Linked DNA regions of Cricetulus griseus. The protein of the gene in region 2 purifies or fractionates together with the protein of the main gene of each other region. This does not show direct contact. Links are inferred from orthologs where the notes say so. Each region holds a gene or a part of one and is shown on either strand. Other genes may lie near its edges.

The links. Proteins that work in one complex are often made in the same cells at the same time.
Region 1: the proteins of Ddx6 (region 2) and Lsm14b purify together in Homo sapiens (affinity purification with mass spectrometry; 4 studies listed by BioGRID and IntAct, counting the BioPlex papers as one, with this or other methods). This does not show direct contact. The link is inferred for Cricetulus griseus from reciprocal best matches to the Homo sapiens genes DDX6 and LSM14B.
Region 3: the proteins of Ddx6 (region 2) and Mcrip1 purify together in Homo sapiens (affinity purification with mass spectrometry; 3 studies listed by BioGRID and IntAct, with this or other methods). This does not show direct contact. The link is inferred for Cricetulus griseus from reciprocal best matches to the Homo sapiens genes DDX6 and MCRIP1.
Region 4: the proteins of Ddx6 (region 2) and Edc4 purify together in Homo sapiens (affinity purification with mass spectrometry; 4 studies listed by BioGRID and IntAct, counting the BioPlex papers as one, with this or other methods). This does not show direct contact. The link is inferred for Cricetulus griseus from reciprocal best matches to the Homo sapiens genes DDX6 and EDC4.

Annotation. Positions count from the first base shown.
Region 1 is NC_048599.1:1,901,843-1,906,027, forward strand, and holds part of Lsm14b (protein LSM14 homolog B), read right to left. Parts: intron 4,174-4,185; coding exon 4,006-4,173; intron 3,795-4,005; coding exon 3,717-3,794; intron 3,522-3,716; coding exon 3,360-3,521; intron 3,101-3,359; coding exon 2,950-3,100; intron 1,865-2,949; coding exon 1,693-1,864; 3' UTR 1,680-1,692; intron 1,432-1,679; coding exon of another isoform or gene 1,424-1,431; 3' UTR 1-1,423. UniProt on the Homo sapiens protein: mRNA-binding protein essential for female fertility, oocyte meiotic maturation and the assembly of MARDO (mitochondria-associated ribonucleoprotein domain), a membraneless compartment that stores maternal mRNAs in oocytes.
Region 2 is NC_048597.1:156,289,922-156,294,864, reverse strand, and holds the start of Ddx6 (probable ATP-dependent RNA helicase DDX6), read right to left. Parts: upstream 3,101-4,943; 5' UTR 3,021-3,100; exon of another isoform or gene 2,922-3,020; intron 2,160-2,921; exon of another isoform or gene 2,059-2,159; intron 1,989-2,058; exon of another isoform or gene 1,846-1,988; intron 1-1,845.
Region 3 is NC_048600.1:133,030,772-133,034,131, forward strand, and holds the end of Mcrip1 (mapk-regulated corepressor-interacting protein 1), read right to left. Parts: intron 2,611-3,360; 5' UTR 2,566-2,610; coding exon 2,558-2,565; intron 2,481-2,557; coding exon 2,362-2,480; intron 1,778-2,361; coding exon 1,676-1,777; intron 1,532-1,675; coding exon 1,467-1,531; 3' UTR 669-1,466; downstream 1-668. UniProt on the Homo sapiens protein: The phosphorylation status of MCRIP1 functions as a molecular switch to regulate epithelial-mesenchymal transition. Unphosphorylated MCRIP1 binds to and inhibits the transcriptional corepressor CTBP(s).
Region 4 is NC_048596.1:182,173,073-182,177,257, reverse strand, and holds part of Edc4 (enhancer of mRNA-decapping protein 4), read right to left. Parts: coding exon 4,108-4,185; intron 3,684-4,107; coding exon 3,494-3,683; intron 3,400-3,493; coding exon 3,252-3,399; intron 3,172-3,251; coding exon 3,067-3,171; intron 2,670-3,066; coding exon 2,560-2,669; intron 2,468-2,559; coding exon 2,384-2,467; intron 2,299-2,383; coding exon 2,203-2,298; intron 2,114-2,202; coding exon 2,011-2,113; intron 1,919-2,010; coding exon 1,738-1,918; intron 1,639-1,737; coding exon 1,566-1,638; intron 1,469-1,565; coding exon 1,377-1,468; intron 1,313-1,376; coding exon 1,113-1,312; intron 1,063-1,112; coding exon 902-1,062; intron 820-901; coding exon 663-819; intron 330-662; coding exon 1-329. UniProt on the Homo sapiens protein: In the process of mRNA degradation, seems to play a role in mRNA decapping. Component of a complex containing DCP2 and DCP1A which functions in decapping of ARE-containing mRNAs. Promotes complex formation between DCP1A and DCP2.

The DNA.
Region 1 (4,185 bases), on a different chromosome or scaffold from region 2:
ACACAAACCAAGAGTGCCATCCAATCCATTGACCATGTATCTGCTCTGGAGGACTGCCTTCAATACTTGGGGAACAGTTACGGCAAAGCAAAGTGCTTTGTAGCTATAGCAGTTTTCATTCATACTAGACTAGGGTGTTCACCCTAGCAAGATAGCCCAGTGAGAACGAGCAAGCCTACTTCATCTATGGTCATCAGGTCACTTTCTGGCATATCATATGGTACCTTGTAAGTACCTCCACACCCTTAACTAGCGGAGGTATGCTGTAGGTCTGACTAGAACCTGCTTCTGAGTAGGCCTTGGACGTGACACAGGTGATGGAGGCAGCATTTGAAGGTTTGAATGTTTATTTAGTTTGCATTACCCCAACAGTAGCCCCAGTGCTGTGTTCTATTCTCAGCTATGAAGTCCTACAAAAATAAACCCAAGCTTTTGCAATGCGACTTCATCAACACAGAACTAAAGCTTTGTAGCTATTTGAAGGGGTTTTGGTTATCAAGGTGCTTGTTTTCAACAAAATGCCCTGTCAGTCAGAGGATGCATGCTCATACAGAAAAATCTGACCCATTTACTCATGCAACAAAGTTTATGTTCCCACCCTCCCTCCATCACCTTTAAAATAAACACACAACAACTATTTACAAACGAGGAAATAAGGCCAGTGACCTTAGAAAGAAGGGGGAAAAAAAAAAAAAACTGGCTCATTTCAAAGTAGATGAGAACACTTAAGTGCAGCCAGAGTCTAACAATGACTGACCTGGGCTAGAGGCGACAAGGACAGGAAGGTTGGTCACACCATATTGGCTTGTCTTGGACTTCGACACTAAGCCTCAGTACCTGTGGAAGCCAGGCTCTACATGACACTCAGGGGGCCCTTCCTACTGTACTCCTCCTCTGTCAGCCTCGAACCCTGAACATCACTTGTTCATTACACAACATGATCCATGGAACACCACCCCCTCCCTGCCCTTGACCCTCCCACCCCTATCCTATGACTGGTTCACCCTGTGCTGGCCCTGCCTGGATCCTGAGACTTCCCACTGTTAGCAGATGGGGTACCAGGCCAGCAGCACCAGGGGCCAGATGGGTTGCAGAGACACATTTGGACACCACACGTGCCAAATAAAATTTGGTTCCGTTTTAAGAGTCAAAGCTGTCGTTTAAAAAAAAAAAAAAAAAATTACAAAGTGAGGACTGAGCCTTTGCCTATAGAAACCTTTTTGCAAAATACCAAAACCTTACAATTCGGCTGTGTGCAACCAAGAAGAAAATGTAGGTCAAGATACCTTCAGGAGATCACCTACAAATACTTCCCCCAAAACAAGTGGTTCTAATCAGACCACATCCAAGTTTAGGTTGAGTCCAAAGCCAAGTAGTATGAGGGTGTCCAGACTTGGTAAACAAGATCCTTGTGTCCTTATCTTCAGAACCCTGTGAGAGGACAGGAAGTCAGTGTCCAACAGGTATCTGTCACACAGCTATCTATTCCCTCACCACCCTGGGGACCGGAAGGCAGTAAAGGTAGGGAACTGGCCCTCCACATCCTACATGGAATTGCATAGGACGCTCCAGCCCTTGTTTCTGTGAACAGACAGGCTTGCTCCCCACTTCTAAGTATGGTCTAGGGATGTTCACCCCACCACCTCCTTCCCCAAGGATCCAGAACGGTTCCCACTCACGTGTACTGCACCCTTACACCCGGCCAGTCCCAGCTCGGTGGGAAGTGGGGTTGCGCCGTGTTGTCCCATTGCCTCTACCTCCTCGGAATCCACCACGTGAACTGCGGCCACGAAGGAACCTCCCAGACACCCCAAAGGTCTCAGTGTTCAGCTTTCTCTCTTCAGCCCATGTCGTCCGCCTAGAACTAAACCAAAAGATGAGGTATGTTAAGATCTGACTATAAGCTGGGCGGTGGGGTTGCACACCTTTTATCCCAACACTTGGGAAGCAGAGGCAGGTCTACAGAGCAAGCTCCAGGACAGCAAGGGCTACCCAGGGAAACCGTCTTTTGAAAAACAACAACAAAATCTGACTGTAGTGGGCAACAACTACAGTTTCTGAAATAGGCTTTGTCCCTTGAACAGCAGAAACGGAAGGATGAGCAGGGGAACACTCAACCTAATGCTGCAGAGATCAGGCCTATTTTGGCTCAAGATCCCTCTATCACCAAGAGTAAACAAGTGACACAAGTGGGTGACAAAGAAGCCCTTAAGAGCTCACACAAAAGCATTTAGATCCCAGCCCTTCCTGCTGCCACGTTTGGTCCCCATCCTCCAGCTGAACCATCTAGCTTCCATACCAGCCCATCTTCAGTCACTGTCACCAAGAGGCAGTACAGGTCAACCAGCCGCTCCTGACTGTCTGATTATTTGCTTAGAATATAGTCTACACTATCCCTCGCCCATTCAGATGCATAGCCATGTGCAGGTTGCTGAGACCTGGCCACACCCTCCTACAAGATACAGCCGGGCTTAAGTTCTTCTTTTAGCTTGTGTCACTCTTGCTTCGATTGCTCCCCTAGTATGTGTGCATGGCCCAGGCTACCCAGCTCACTTCCTGTTCTTCAATGGCCTGAGTTGCACACTATGCCTGCTCTGAAGCTTACCATACAGTCTAGGGGTGCTCATCTACAGTGCTGACACACATCACAATCTCTGACTTCCAGGACTTGAGAGGACAGGCAGGCACATCAGGCAGGAAAGAGCAGCACTAATGGGGATGCAAGAACTCAACCTCAGCAAGTCCTCATCAGGTTAGGGGACAGACAGAGGGTTCTGGCACTACATCCTAGATGGCATGGACAGACCCAGTTGGTACTCTTGTAGTTGTCATGTAGAAATATGTAGAAAACAAGCTCAAAGCTTGGACTTAATGTTAGTATACTTTAAGTCACATGCTTCTTAGACTTACAAAACAGCTACCCTTTCCGCAGTGTGCTTAGGCCCTTACCTTGTTTTGAGTTCAGAAGAAATGTTGTCAAAGAAGGACTTGGACTTGTCATAGTAACAGTTGGGCCCCAGAAGATCTTCCTCAGCAGGAGTCTCTTCACTCTGGGTCATCACTGCTGGGTCCTTCTCTTCCCCTTTCTCAGCCTTGTCATCTACAAAGACAAACACTACCCAGTCAGTCTCCTGTTAGGGGTCCACTCTGCAGCTGTCCTCAGGCCCAGAGAGATCCTTTCCTCTCATGGCAAGTCACAAGCTTCACACACCCATCCCAGCCCTCCTCATCTATTCCTCAGAGTGCACTCCAATTCCCACACTGGTCAGGACCTCAACTCACTCCAGAGTGATGCCAGTCATTCTGTCCCAACATGCTCTAGGGATTCTCTTGGGGGATAACTTTCAAATGAATCAGACCTTTAAAATTCAATTTCTTCTTAAATTCTTTATCAAGCTCTTCTCGGTTGAACTGGGCATTTGCACTCTCAAAATCAAAGTCACCTTCAAACTTGATTGTGTTTTCCTTAACATTAGTTGGACGGTTTTGCCCTCTGGAACGATTTCTTGTTCGCCGATTGCCTATGTAGACAATAAACAGCATGGGCTGAATTCACCAACTTATTTCCAGCTTGAATTCAAAAGCAACTCACAGACACACTGATGACAAATGGCACGGTTCACTGAAGCACCACCTTAGCCCCAAGTTCCCAGCACAGGAAGCAAAGCACAGCCTGCTGCTCATGGCTACAGAACTCCAGTGGCCCTGGGTGTTACCTGACCGCCTCCGTGGAGGTCTTCTGTTCTCGTCATTCACCTGCCCTTGGGTGTGCACAGGTGTCGGCTGGACTACATCTAAGGTGCAAAGGGAAAAGTGAGGCCAAGCTCCGCAGAAGCCAGAACCCAGCCACCAAAAGCAGAGCGCCACTACCACATGCTACCTGCCCACAGGCCTGCTTGCAAAAGTGTGTGGTCTGGGATGAGGGCAATGCTTTAAAATCCATGTCCCAGTGAGTATGACATTGGAGACACAGAGAAACTGCAGGGGAAATCAGTGTTCAAGTACCGCTGGCAGTCTTGCTGCTTGGCTGAGCCTGGCGACCATTGAGCTGTGTCCCCGAGGTAACCTTGCTGGGTAACAGTTTCTTAGCATTCAAGTTATCAGCAGAACTAGTCTGGACAGCTTGCTCCACCATGGGGCTCTTGCTGACTGGGGTAGATGGAAAACCAGCTCCTGAGTTAAAGA
Region 2 (4,943 bases):
GAAAAAAGAAATTTCCTGTTGCTAAGGGGGGGGGGGACAGGGGGCTAAACAAAATTGTGGTTTTAATAAAAGTCTCCCAAATCACCGAGTACCAAGTCTAAGTAACAGTTATTTCAAGGAGTTGGTCAACCTCCTCCATTTTAAACTGTTCCCCAAATGGAATTCTCAAAATTTAGTACTAAAGAATTGCCGCCGGGCGTTGGTGGCGCAAGTCTTTAATCCCAACACTCTGGAGGCAGAGGCAGGCTGATCTCTGTGAGTTCCATACCAGTCTGTTCTACAAGAGCTAGTTCCAGGACAGCCTCCAAAAGCCACAGAAAAACCAAAAAAAAAAAAAGCCAAAGACCAGAGCACAAGTCCAACTCCTTTGGTTTTATCTTTTAACCCCCTTACATTCCACCCTCTCCCCAAACACTAACTTAATCAGTGTTAGTTATTTTTTCCATATACCAATGTATCCGAAATCCAAAATTTTAAAGTCAAAAGATATTTCAAGTTTTGTTAGCAAACACCGTTTGCTAAAACGAATAAAAAAAACTTTATGCATCAACTTGCTCACAAATGCTGCTTATCAAATGCAGTTGTTTATTCTGGTAACAGCTACTTTCTGTATTTACAGGTTCCTGTTATGATCAACAGTATCAGGTACATCCAACAGGAAGGCTTACCTGTTTGCAAAGCACTAAGAGGATGAGAGGGGCAATCTCTGAATACTAAATGACACCATGACTTCTGTCAATCATGCACAGTAAGACCTCCTATATTGCCTTAAATCCAAAGTGAGACTCCACGATAACTGCTCCCTACTTAAACTGACACCTGCACTGCAGCTTTCTGTCTTAGTGGAGAAATATTCTTCCCTACCCCTTCCCAGTTTCGATTTGCAAGTTATATTCCTACATTTAAAACACACACACACACACACACACACACACACACACACACACACACACACACACACACACAAAACCCCACGAAGGTACGTAGACTTAGTTGGGAGGAGCCCCTGGCGGAGTTAATTACAGCACTTCCCTGACCGTGGTTAGCAATTGACAGTTTCACACCCAAGACAGTATCATCAGCTCCAACAAGGGCTTTTGTTTGCAAATGCAGCGCAATTTCTCTAAGCCTCAGCAGGAAGTTAGAGTGGGGTTATTCCGAAGGAAAAGGGGGCTGTGGAAAAGGGAAGAGTCAAGCCAAGGACTGGAGTCCGGTAACCGTAGGGCAATAATTCCTCGCCCCCTCCCCCAACCACACTCTCTTCAAACCCAGCTCCCTCAGATCAAAAAACGCAAAAGGCTTTGGTGCCCTGCAATCCTATCTGCGCCACAAGAGCCGGAACCAGCTCCGCGGGTAGGAAACAATAGGGACTCCCCTCAGAAAGCCCGGAAGAGAACCCCCAAACTGGAAAGCCTCTGCTCTCCTCTAAGCCGGAGGCTCCCCTAAAGCCCCCAGTCCCCCGCGACCTGCAGGGCCTACTTGCAGCCCAGCCGCTGCGGGTCCTCTCCCAGGCCCGTCTCGGGCCAGCACAGCCCTGCCGCCCCCCACAGGGCTGCCTCGTACTCCCGACACCGCTGCCGAGTCGCGGCCGCCGCTCGGTCCCCTCGCCCGTCTAGCCCACGGCCAGCCCCGAGCACTCCGCCGCTCCTCCTCCAGACCCCGCGGCGCACCACATCCCTCGGTTCACTCCTCTCCGCCTCCCCCGCTCCACTCAGCGGTCGGCCGCCCGTCCTCCCCCGGCCGGGCCTGGGCCTCGGGCCTCCGCCCCAAGCGCGCCCCGACGCCCGCCCGAGGGGGCTCCCCGCGACCTCCATGGCCCCGCCGACCCCGACCACGCCGCCTCACCCCACGCCCCGCGGCTCGGGCCCGAGTCCTACCACCGAGGCCACTCCCGCTCCGCACCCTCGGTCCTTTATTGTTGACTCGAAGCTCCCAAAATGGCGGCGGCTCCTTCCTCCTCGGAAACCTCCGCCCGCCCCCACCGGCCCTCGCCGCTACGCCCGCCGCCCCGCCCCCGCCGCGCCGCCCGCCGCCCGCGCCGCCGCCGTCCCGCGCTACCTCGGCCGCGGCCCGGTGTGTCGGCGCCCCCGAAGTCGCCGCCGGGCTGAGCGGACTCTGCTCCTCTGCCCCCTCCCTCGCTCGCCGCCGCCGCCGCCGCCTCCCTCCCTCCCTCCTTCCCAGCCTCTCCGCATGGCGGCGGCCGCGGCTCCTCCTCCACACAAGATGGCGAGAGCCCGGCCGCTGCTGCAGCACCGCCGCCGCCGCCGCCGCCGCGGCGTCACGGCTTCCTGGGCGCGGTGGGCGAGGGTCGGGAGAGACCCTTCCCGGACCGCGCCGAGCTCAGGGAAACATGGGGCCGCTTTCCGGAGGGCTTGCCTGCAGAGCGGAGGAGACCCAGCTCGGGAGGGAATGGTGGCCGGGGACAGTCGCCCTTGCCTTCGTCCCTCCCTCCAAAGCTGGCTCGCGGGTCGGGGCCGGAGGGGAGGTCTGCTGACTCCTCACCAAGGACGCGCTCCGCGGGCAGGCAGCCGGCGGCGCGGGCTCGGGGCCGGGAAGCTGACCTGGGATGGCCGTGAGGCTGCTGCGAGGCCAGGCGCACCTCCACCCGGGGTCGCGCGGAAGTGGGGCTGGCGGGGCCCGCGCTGCTGGGCAGGCTGCGGGAAGGGGTACCGGCCCCGAGCCCGCTCCCAGGGAGAGCGAGAGCCGGGAGCGCGCCCTCGGTCGTGGGCTACCAAGCCCAGAGGGCAGGCGAGGTGACCCTTTGTTCCTGCCCGCAGTGACACTCTTCTGCAAAGGGCAAGACTGCCTCTACGAGCGAGGACTCTTACGGAAAAGGGAAACCAGTAGCTTCTCCTGCCTGACCCTCACTGCAGAGATACTCGTGCATTTGTTTCTATGATTTCCCGGTTCTAATGTCTTACCCTTAACAACAACAAAAAAGCCGTCTTGTTCCAAGTAAAATAAGCATTTGGAGATAAAATCGAGCTGGGCTAAAGGGAAAGTAAAAATCTAAGTCTCACGTGGCTGAGAGGCTGGAAATAACTGACAATGGTCAAACCATATGTGACAATAGGACTCCATCCCGGAACACACAAATTAATGGGCCCCGGACAGTCAATACTTGAGTCACTGACTAGCACCTCCCTTTTTTTTTTTTTTTTTTTGCCGCGGCTTCCAACTTGAGACCAATCAGAAGAAGCCAAATATGTTCTCTAAACCAATGAGTCCCTGCTTCTAGCCCTCCTCCTGTTTTCTTGCCAACAAGATCCAATCAGAATAAGCCTGAAGCCTTTCTTCCCTCCCAACCCAATTTTTTTTTTTTTTTTTACTGTAGCGCTTAACTTTTTTTTTTTCTTCCTTCGAGGGTTTAACTCTTTACCAAACGCCCGTGGATGCTTGTTGACCCCATTGCCTTAGCAAACCCCGACCAAATAACATCCTGTTGTCATTTGGTGATTCTGATTTAGTTCCATAAAGCAAAGACTGCCCTGTGTTGTCTTGAGACAGATTCTTGCACCATAGCTCTGGCTAGCCTGGAACTCATGGCTGGGATTTACAAGTGTGTGCCATTACACTAAGTGCGTTATTATTGTTGTTGTTATTTTACGTTTTGCAACTCTGAGTTTAAAGCATGTCACCTCCCATCCAGATTTTAAAGTAACTTCATGCAAGGGGATAAGGCCCGCACCTTGTGCTCACCCTGGAGAGAATCTAAGTGAGCTAAATGATCTATCTCTTGGAGGTATGAGGCCTTGTGTGTCCCTTTTTGTTGTGGTGTTTGGTTTTTGGAGGTAGGGTTTCCCCGTGTAGCCCTGACTTTCCTGGGACTGGCACTGTAGACCAGGCTGGCTCAGACTCAGAGATCTGCCTGCCTCTGCCTCACTGAGTGCTAAGGTTAAAGGCTTGCGACAACACTGTCTGGCCTAAAGCTGTTTTGTTTTGTTTTTTTTGGTTTTTCGAGACAGGGTTTCTCTGTGGCTTTAGAGCCTGTCCTGGAACTCACTCTGTAGATCAGGCCGGTCTCAAACTCACTGAGATTCGCCTGCCTCTGCCTCATAAGTGCTGGGACTAAAGGCATGCACCACCAATGCCCAGCCTGTGTTCTTATTTTTAAAGTGAGTGATAATCCATTACCATCTTTAAAAATGCTTTTTTTTTGGATCAGGCTTGTGTTCACACCTTAATCCCATCACTTGGGAGGCAGAGATAGGCAGATCTCTGGGAGTTTGAGGCAGCCTGTCTACATAGTGAGTTCCAGGCTAACCAGTTGGACTCTTGTCTTTAGAAAAAAAAAGTAGAAGGTTGTGGTCAGATGGCTCAGTGATAAAGATGTTTGCCTCTAAACCTGACAACCTCAGTTTGACCCTCAAGAACAGAACTTAATACTATACATTGTCCTCAACCTCGAAAGTCCACCCACATACAAAATTAAATGTGATTTTAGAAAATACAAATGGGGTCTTGAGAGATGGCTCAGAGGGTGGAAGCAATTGCTACTCTTGCAGAGGACCTAGGTTCAATTTCTAACACCCACATTGCAGCTCACAACTGACTTAATCCAGTTCTGGGAGATCTGACATCCTTTTTCTGGACCAGGCACACACACACCTTGCATGCAGGCAAAAAAAAAAAACCCATACACATAAAAAAAGGTAAAATTAAAAATGAGTTCTTTGCTAATGCACATAGTATCTTTATGTTTATAAAATGTATACTTTTTCAGGAAAATGATCCAGAAACCCACCTACAAGGTGAACAAATAGAAAAGTACTTTAGCAAGAAAAGTACTTTAGTACTTTGTTTTGAGGACAAGCAAAGATGGAAATGGGTTAAATACATCTCTCCAAACAGTCAGATGTAGTTTGCAGAGTTTTAGTCTCTATGACAGGTAATATTCCCTCACTACCACCAGCTGGCCAGCTCAGCACACCAGGTGTCTTTGG
Region 3 (3,360 bases), on a different chromosome or scaffold from region 2:
GTATCCTGGGTTGTTTGCCTACCCACCTTGTCCTGGTATCCCCTGAGCTGTCCACATCCCTTCCAGTCCCGACAATGGGAAGCAGATTGGGTAACCCACAGCCTAGGACACTGAGCTTCTTCAAACAGCCCAACATGCCCCAGGGAACTGACAATGCCAAGTCATGGGGGTGGCTTGGCACCTAGATCAGCTTTCTCACTGCCCTGTATTGCCTGCACCTCCCTGAGGAGACTTGTCTTGCCCAGCCCACACGCAGGAGATGCCTCTGGGGGCCACTTGAGCCCCGGAATACTCTTCTGGGAAAGCATGGTCCTGAAATAAATCCCGTTTTGGCATCTTCTTGGGAGCAGGAGTGTTCCAGGGCTGTTTCCATGACTGAAGGTCAAATGCAAACAGGTCTCTCCTGGGCCCAGCAGCTGCCCCTGGACAGCACAGGAGCCAATGCTCCTCAGAGTCCACAGACCAAGCCAGCAAGGAGTTCAAGGTGGCCAAGGAGTGCCACATGAGGAATGGCACCTTAGAGAACATGAGAGTCTGGTTTCACCACTCACCAGACTGCTCTGGGGTCCAGGGGCTCAGAGACCTCCAGGGCTCAACGGGCCTGAGTTTCCAGGCCTGTGCAGCTGTGTGGGCTTCAGGGTAGGGCCTAACAGACTGCTAAGAAGCCATTTTCCAGTGCCACCCGCCTTTATTCACAGACCCTCAGTCTCCAACACAGACACTTGGATTCAAGAGGGCACAAGAAAAGGGGGCCTTGGTGATCCTCCCAGTACACCCCAGAAAGCCAGGACAGGCCTGGCAGCACCACTCCTTCAAGGTCAGCCTTAGTGCCCCTGCTCAAGGGCACTGCTGTGACCACAGGGCTACAGGTACCAGGAGACCAGGCCTGGTTGCTAGAGGCCCCTTCAGGGAGCCAGAACTGTCCTAGGCTCAGAGCTGATTCCACTCTGAAACTGAGGCAAGAAAGGGGCAAGTGGACAGTGGGGATGGGGGGGGGGGCTCCCCAAATGTCCAGGCCAGAAGAACAGCAAGTATCCATGGAGAGACCCAGACTGGATGCAGGTGGGACTGCACATGTCCTAATTTCTGGTCATTCAAGGTTCCAACAGAGGTCCCTTTTTTTCCTTTCTGACCTTAAGTAGCCAGGAAGGCGAGAGGAGAGGCATGGCAGGTAACAGCAGAGAGGGTTGGGTCGGCAGGGCCAGGTGCTACCCAAGATGCAGCTGGCCAGGGGAAAGGACAGGAGCTGACATGGCCAGACCCCTGTTCCCCCAGTGACAGGGGCAACTTGAGACCCTGGAGAGGAAAGGAAGGGCCTTGGCCATCAATCCTGCTGGCTCTGGGGATTGTGGCCTGCTAGAGCACACTCTCCTCCCCCCTCCCAGAAGCAGAGCCACCGGAACAGAGGAGACCAACATCAAGTGCACCCTGATCTTCTGGAGGCCAGGGGAGGGGCGCCAGGCACTCTAGGACTTCTTGGCATCCTGCGTGTTCCGGCGCTTCAGGTCACTCAGGTCGATGGGCTTGAAGGCTGTCAGGAGACAGTCTGGTTGGTGCTGGAAACAGAACCCTCACCCAGTCACCACTGCTGGAGGCTCCCAAACCCAAATGCCTTGGGAAGGACAACAGTGCAGTCGGGAAGCAGGGGCCTTCCCTCCAGGGCTGCCCTACTCACTCTTGAGGCTGGGGTTGGGAACCTTCTCCACATACTCCTCCACTAGGCCCCGCTCACCACCAGACAGCTGGCTGCGCAGGTCCCGCTCAACACCCTGCCAAGCTGCAACAAGAGGACACCTGGTTCAGAGCCCTGCCGTGTTCAAGACACCAGAGCATCTATAGAGTCTGTCCCGATGCGGGGCCAAGCATGCAGAGTGTCTGCCCTGACACCCCTGTTTCTACCAGTCTGCTGTCAGCTGAGCCCCAACCGTCCTCCCTCTGCACAGTTCTTCCTGCAGGCAGGCCAGTGCCTTCTGTGTGATGGCCACACCGAGCTGCAGAGGGCCACATACATGCCTTAGAGGGCCCTACCATCCCCACCTCTACCCACCCTACCTCTCTGTACATTTGTTCCAATTCCAACCACACCACCTCTGTCCACTTGAGTGACACTGTGTTCACAGCTACTTTCTCTCCCAAGGAAGTCTCTAGGCCTGAGGACTGACTCCAAGACACTTCTGGGGTTCTCCCCACCCCCACTTCCTGGGTTGTCATCACATGTCCCTCAGTCACCAGTCTTGCTGGTTCTAGAACTTAAGGCCACAGAGTATGGTGCCCTCTTCACTGAAGGTGACAGAGTGGGACAGGGGGGTATTCACCCACAGAGGACTGCAGAGGCAGAGCACAGGCGCCACTAGCACCAACCTTCATAAATGAAACGCACGTTCTCCTCGTGTGCCGGCGTGAAAATCTCACTGCTGTTGGTGGGAGAGCGTGGGCTGCTGTTTCTCTTGCCGTTGTAGACGACCCTGGAGACAGGAGAGCTGGGGAGAGCACCATGTGTGAGAAGGGATTAGGAGGACAGATGGGGCCCCAACTCCCACACACACCTAAGACCCACCTGGTCATTGCTGGGGTGTCTGGTCCTGGCGCTTGGCTGCTGGATCCTGCGGCCTATGAAACAAAAACCCCAGGCACTGGAGACATCACCTTTCCAGCAGAAAAAGGGGTAAACTCTGTGGCCCTGACTCCCCTGGGGACCCAACCTTTAGGCTGGGCCCAAGACTTGAGTGACTAATGGGCTCCAAGCAATCCTGAACAGATATGGAAGTGTTGGTGTCAGTCAGAGCACACAGAGGGCACAAGCAGGCCAAACCCTGGTTAAGTCAGCCAGGTCTGCCCCACAGGGCAACCAGGACCCTCTCAGTGTGTCCTTCTGACTGTCCACAGGGACTCAGTCTCCTGACTGTCCACAGGGACTCATGGTGAGAAAACCAGCCACCCTGAGCTCAATGACATTTAACAAATGACCCCAGGACACTAGAGAACCAGGAGGAAGATATCCCTGGAGGAAGCAGCCAGGCTGACCCGACCTGTGATCAAAACCCTGGAGTGCAACTTGTTTTCAGGCCAGAGGATTTTTGCTGCCCTGAGTAGGTGGGGTGTCTATGTTTAGGGTCAGATTCTTGTAATTAACCAGCTGAGGACACACTGCCCAATATGAGGAAACCAGTCATACAGGGCTAGTCCTAAGCCTGGCCTCGGTCCAGATAGAGCAGCCCCAGATGCTGAACACAAAGGAGCCCAGACAGTGCCAATCATGCCACACCAGGCTTTCCCAAAGGCTCTTCTATGGTCAGTGACCCGTCATTAACCACTCAGACAGATGAACACCTCGATGGTATCAAGCTAGCTCCTATAAGA
Region 4 (4,185 bases), on a different chromosome or scaffold from region 2:
GGGGTATTATGCCGATCCCCATCCCCAGGGCCTCCATCTAGGCCAAGCTGAGAGCCAAGCTCAGGGCCTTGCCTGGGCCGAGGAGACAGTAAGTGTAGTGCTGAAGCAGCTGAGGCCATACTGTCTGGCTCAATGAGGCCCTCAGGAACAGAGGAGCCAAAGCCACGGGACAAGGCCTCAGATGCAATTTCAGGGATGTCCTGGGACAGGGCAGTGGAAGCTGAAGAGATCACATCAGGGGAACGGGTGCGACTGGGAGAGGCCTGGGGTAGCCCCAGAGGTTCCACTTCTTGCAAATCCAAGGATAGTGCAGAGGCAGCAGTAGATACCTGAGAAGGGCCAAAGATGGAGGCTTAAGTAATAAGGGGTACGGAGACAAGGAACTGGTATCACAGTGATGAGACAGTGTAACAGGGAAGAGATATGCAAGTAAAAAGCAGGGCCACAGTTCACAAGGGAGGGGTGGGAATGGGAGGCTGAGGATTTGCCACTGGAACATGAAAACCTCTATAATCTTTGAGAAATATGAAGCCCCCAAGGACAAGCAGGATCAGCAGAAAAAATATGTAGGAATAGAGAGCTCCAATCTTCCCCATTGCCCCCCACCTGCTACCCAGTACCTCATTACCCTCCCCCCCCCCCCCCCACCCCCACATACACACCTGCCCAGGTCCCTTGGGAGTCAATTTGTCAGCTGGGCCTGAGAGCAGCCCAGGAAGGAGGCTTCGAGGGCTTGCCTGCAGGCTGCTGCTGCTGTTTATTGTCAGGCTGCCATCCAGCTGCAGCTTGGGACTCAAGGTCAGCTCCTCAGGTGGTCTACTGTCAGAAGGGTGAGATATTAGCTACTGTAATTTGTCACAATCTGGTACTAGACTCTACTATCACATGATCTTTGCCTTACCTGGGCAAGGAGGGGTCCATGGCTGAGGAGCTACTCACAGCAGACACAGCTGTTAGAGAGCTGCTGCTGCTGCTGCTGCTACTGCTGCTGCTGCTGCTGCTGCTGCTGCTACTGCTACTGCTAGGGGACGCAGACATCTGGGAAGATCCAGAGAATGAGCACTAAGGATGCGAATGGAACATTACCAGGCCTCTCTTCACTGAGGAAGTACCTGCTGCAGGGAAGCGGTAGGCGTCATGAAAGCATCAGGTGTCATCAACTTAGGCTTGGTCTCACTGCTCAGACTGAGGAAGTCTGAAGGTGCAGGGAGTTCCACGATGCGTCGAAGGTCAGGCTGAGACCCATGAGCAGCTGAAGCTAATCCCTCAGAGCCTAGTTCAGGTCGGGACTCTCCAAACGCTGTTGGGAAAGCTACTTGAGTCAGATCTCAGAACCATGTCAGTATAACCTGCATCCCTTCTATTCCCTAACTCACTGAAGTCCTCGTGAGCAGGGTGGGTAGGCAGTGGAGCCACCACATCAGGGTTCAGTTGTGGCTGGAAGCGGATCTGTACATCCTGTAGTGCCCTAAAGAACAAGAAAGGGGAAGAATAGATTACTTGAATGAGCCAGGGCCAGTAGGGTAGGGAAAGAGACAGGACATGCGGGCTTCCCTGACACTCACTTAGTATGCACACAAAAGAGCTTGATAAGCACACCAGCTGCAGATTCCATGGCACTAGCTCCATGGGAACTCTCTGAAAGGACAGTGTGGATCATTGAGCATTGAGTAGCTTGCCCTGTGCCTCAACACTTCCCACATACCAACAAATAACCCCAGCCCTGGGGCACCTCACCAGCCCCCAGACTGTCATTCTCCTCCTCAGCAGGCAGCACCTCAGTGTGCCGCAGCCGGCATCGACTCACAACCTGGATGCCAAAGCTCAGCACAGGGTGGGTAAGCAGGAACTCAGAGATGGAACTAAAGCAAGCACGGCCTTCGTCTTGGTTCTGTAGCAGCTCCATCACATAGAGGACCTGTGTGAGCAACACATTCCTAATGGAACTGAACTGAGGGATATGTCACGCATCCCTGCCCTCCTTCCCAGTGTACGGCCACAGCAGCCTACCTTTCGTTGCACATCACTAAGAATCAGATACTCCGCCGAGAGGTCCAAGCAAACTTTGAGGCTGGGAGGTACGCTCACTGAGCTGAAGATATCTGGGGAGAAACTAGGAAGCCAAGAAGTAGACCAGGTAAGACTGAGAATTCAAAGAAGTCATATCCCTGGCCTATCCTCAACCCACTAGTTCTAGTTTACCGAATGGTTTGCAGGCAGGTCCAGGAAACTGTACACCACATCTTTAGCTCCCGATTTTGGTCAGCGCCAGTAATGAGGAACCTCCAGAATGGGACCCTGAAAAGAAACAAGGCACTGATTGGTTACCTGGTAGGAGTCCATGGACAAGCCCACCACTGACTTTGTCTGCCCACTCACTCACTCAGGATCCTGTTTTTTATGGTTATCACAGAATAAGAGGCAAGAAAGGGGTCGTCCATCATGAGGCTTCCATTCATGCAGACACCTATAAGCAGACAGGTGAGGGGCCTAAGTGAACAAACTATTCAACTTTCTAGACAGGGGGTACAGAGTAGGGTCTTTCAGGTCTTGCCTCACCTTGGCTCATCCTGACCTTCAATGTAGATCTGCCAGAACTTGACAAAGCCATCATGGCTTGCAGTAGCCAGAACAGTCCCATCAGGAGAGAGGGCTCCTTCACTTAAGCACTGCAAAGAACCCAAAAAGTTCCAGGAGAGCCAGGGCTACACAGACAAACTGTCTCAAAACAACAACAAAAGCAAAACCCCCCAAAGCTGTGCTTTTCCTCCTGACCTGAGGCAGGAATGAGCCCTTCCTAAATGACGATGGTGGTGAGCTGGGCTGACTGACAATAGACTCACACTTCTATGTGACTGAATAGAGCAGGTAGACACTACAGAGAAAACTAGTCTTTCGGGCACATCTAGATTAGAAGTGAACTGTACAAGCGAGAGCCAATTTTTGTGTTCAACATCCCCACTGACAACATACTGGTAAAGCCACTTGGGCAGTTATGAAAATGGAGAATTGATGAAGGGCACAGAAAGAGGAGAAATGTAGGGAGGCAACCAGTTGTAGGCCTACCGTGCTATGGCCTTTTACCACAATGAAGCCCTGCTTGATTTGGCTGACATCCACAGGCCAGGTATTATGGCTGGAGCGAAGCATATCCAGGTCCCATACCTCAGCCTAGGGGTACAGGGAGGCATTTAGCCCACATGCAAAAATGGCAGTGCTGATACCTCCTTCACCAGACCCAGTACTCTCACCCGGTCTTCATGCAGCAGGGCCACTGTTGGGCTACTTTCCTCACAACAGTCCTCACTTTCCTCAGGGATGAAGGGGCACCAGATGATCCTTCGGAAGTGGTTCAGTGGTGTGCCCTCTGGCTGTCTGATATGGACTAAAATCTCTTCTCTGAGTAGGGAGTTAAGGCTTAGATAGGTAGAAACATCCCTAGCAGCCCCAGACCCAGTTCTACTTCTTCAGTCCCTTGCCTGGGAATGGATACTGAATTTTACCCTTAACCAGAGCCAAGCGCCACACAAAAAGATTGCCGGCCTCATCCAGGCAGGCAAGCTGTGGAGAGTTGAGGTGTGCGAAGGCCAGATCAGCCACACTGCCTGTGAAACCTTTGAGTAGGGTCCGCTCTGAAGTGCTGACACTGATCACACGTACCATTGCTGAGCCGTTGTTGGCAGCTGGAATGTGAAGAGTAGAGAATCTGAGCAAGCTCCTGACCCAGGCAGCAGGATAGAAGCCCTGCCCTTGCCTACCTCACTGCTGTCATCACACTAACAAGCCTGTTTCCCCTAACCATCTCCGCCAGCCCTATTGTACCACAATCATCCAAGTGGCCTGAGTTGCCTGACCCTAAATCTGCATTTCTGGGGCTTCTAACAGAGCACTTTCTTTTTTCTTTCTTTTTTTTTTTCTTTCTTTGTTTTTCAAAACAGGGCTTCTCTGTGTAGGTATGGAGCCTGTCCTGGAACTCATTCTGTAGACCAGGCTAGCCTTAAACTCAGAGAGATCGCCGGCCTCTGCCTCCCAAGTGCTAGGATTAAAGGTACCTGCCACCAACGCCTGGCCTGAGCATTCCTTTTTTTGTCCCCACTCCTTACTTACCCCTAATGGCATATGCCAAGAAGGAGTTAGACACTGCAATCAGGTTGCCATAGTAGTATTTCTGCTCCCAGTCATACT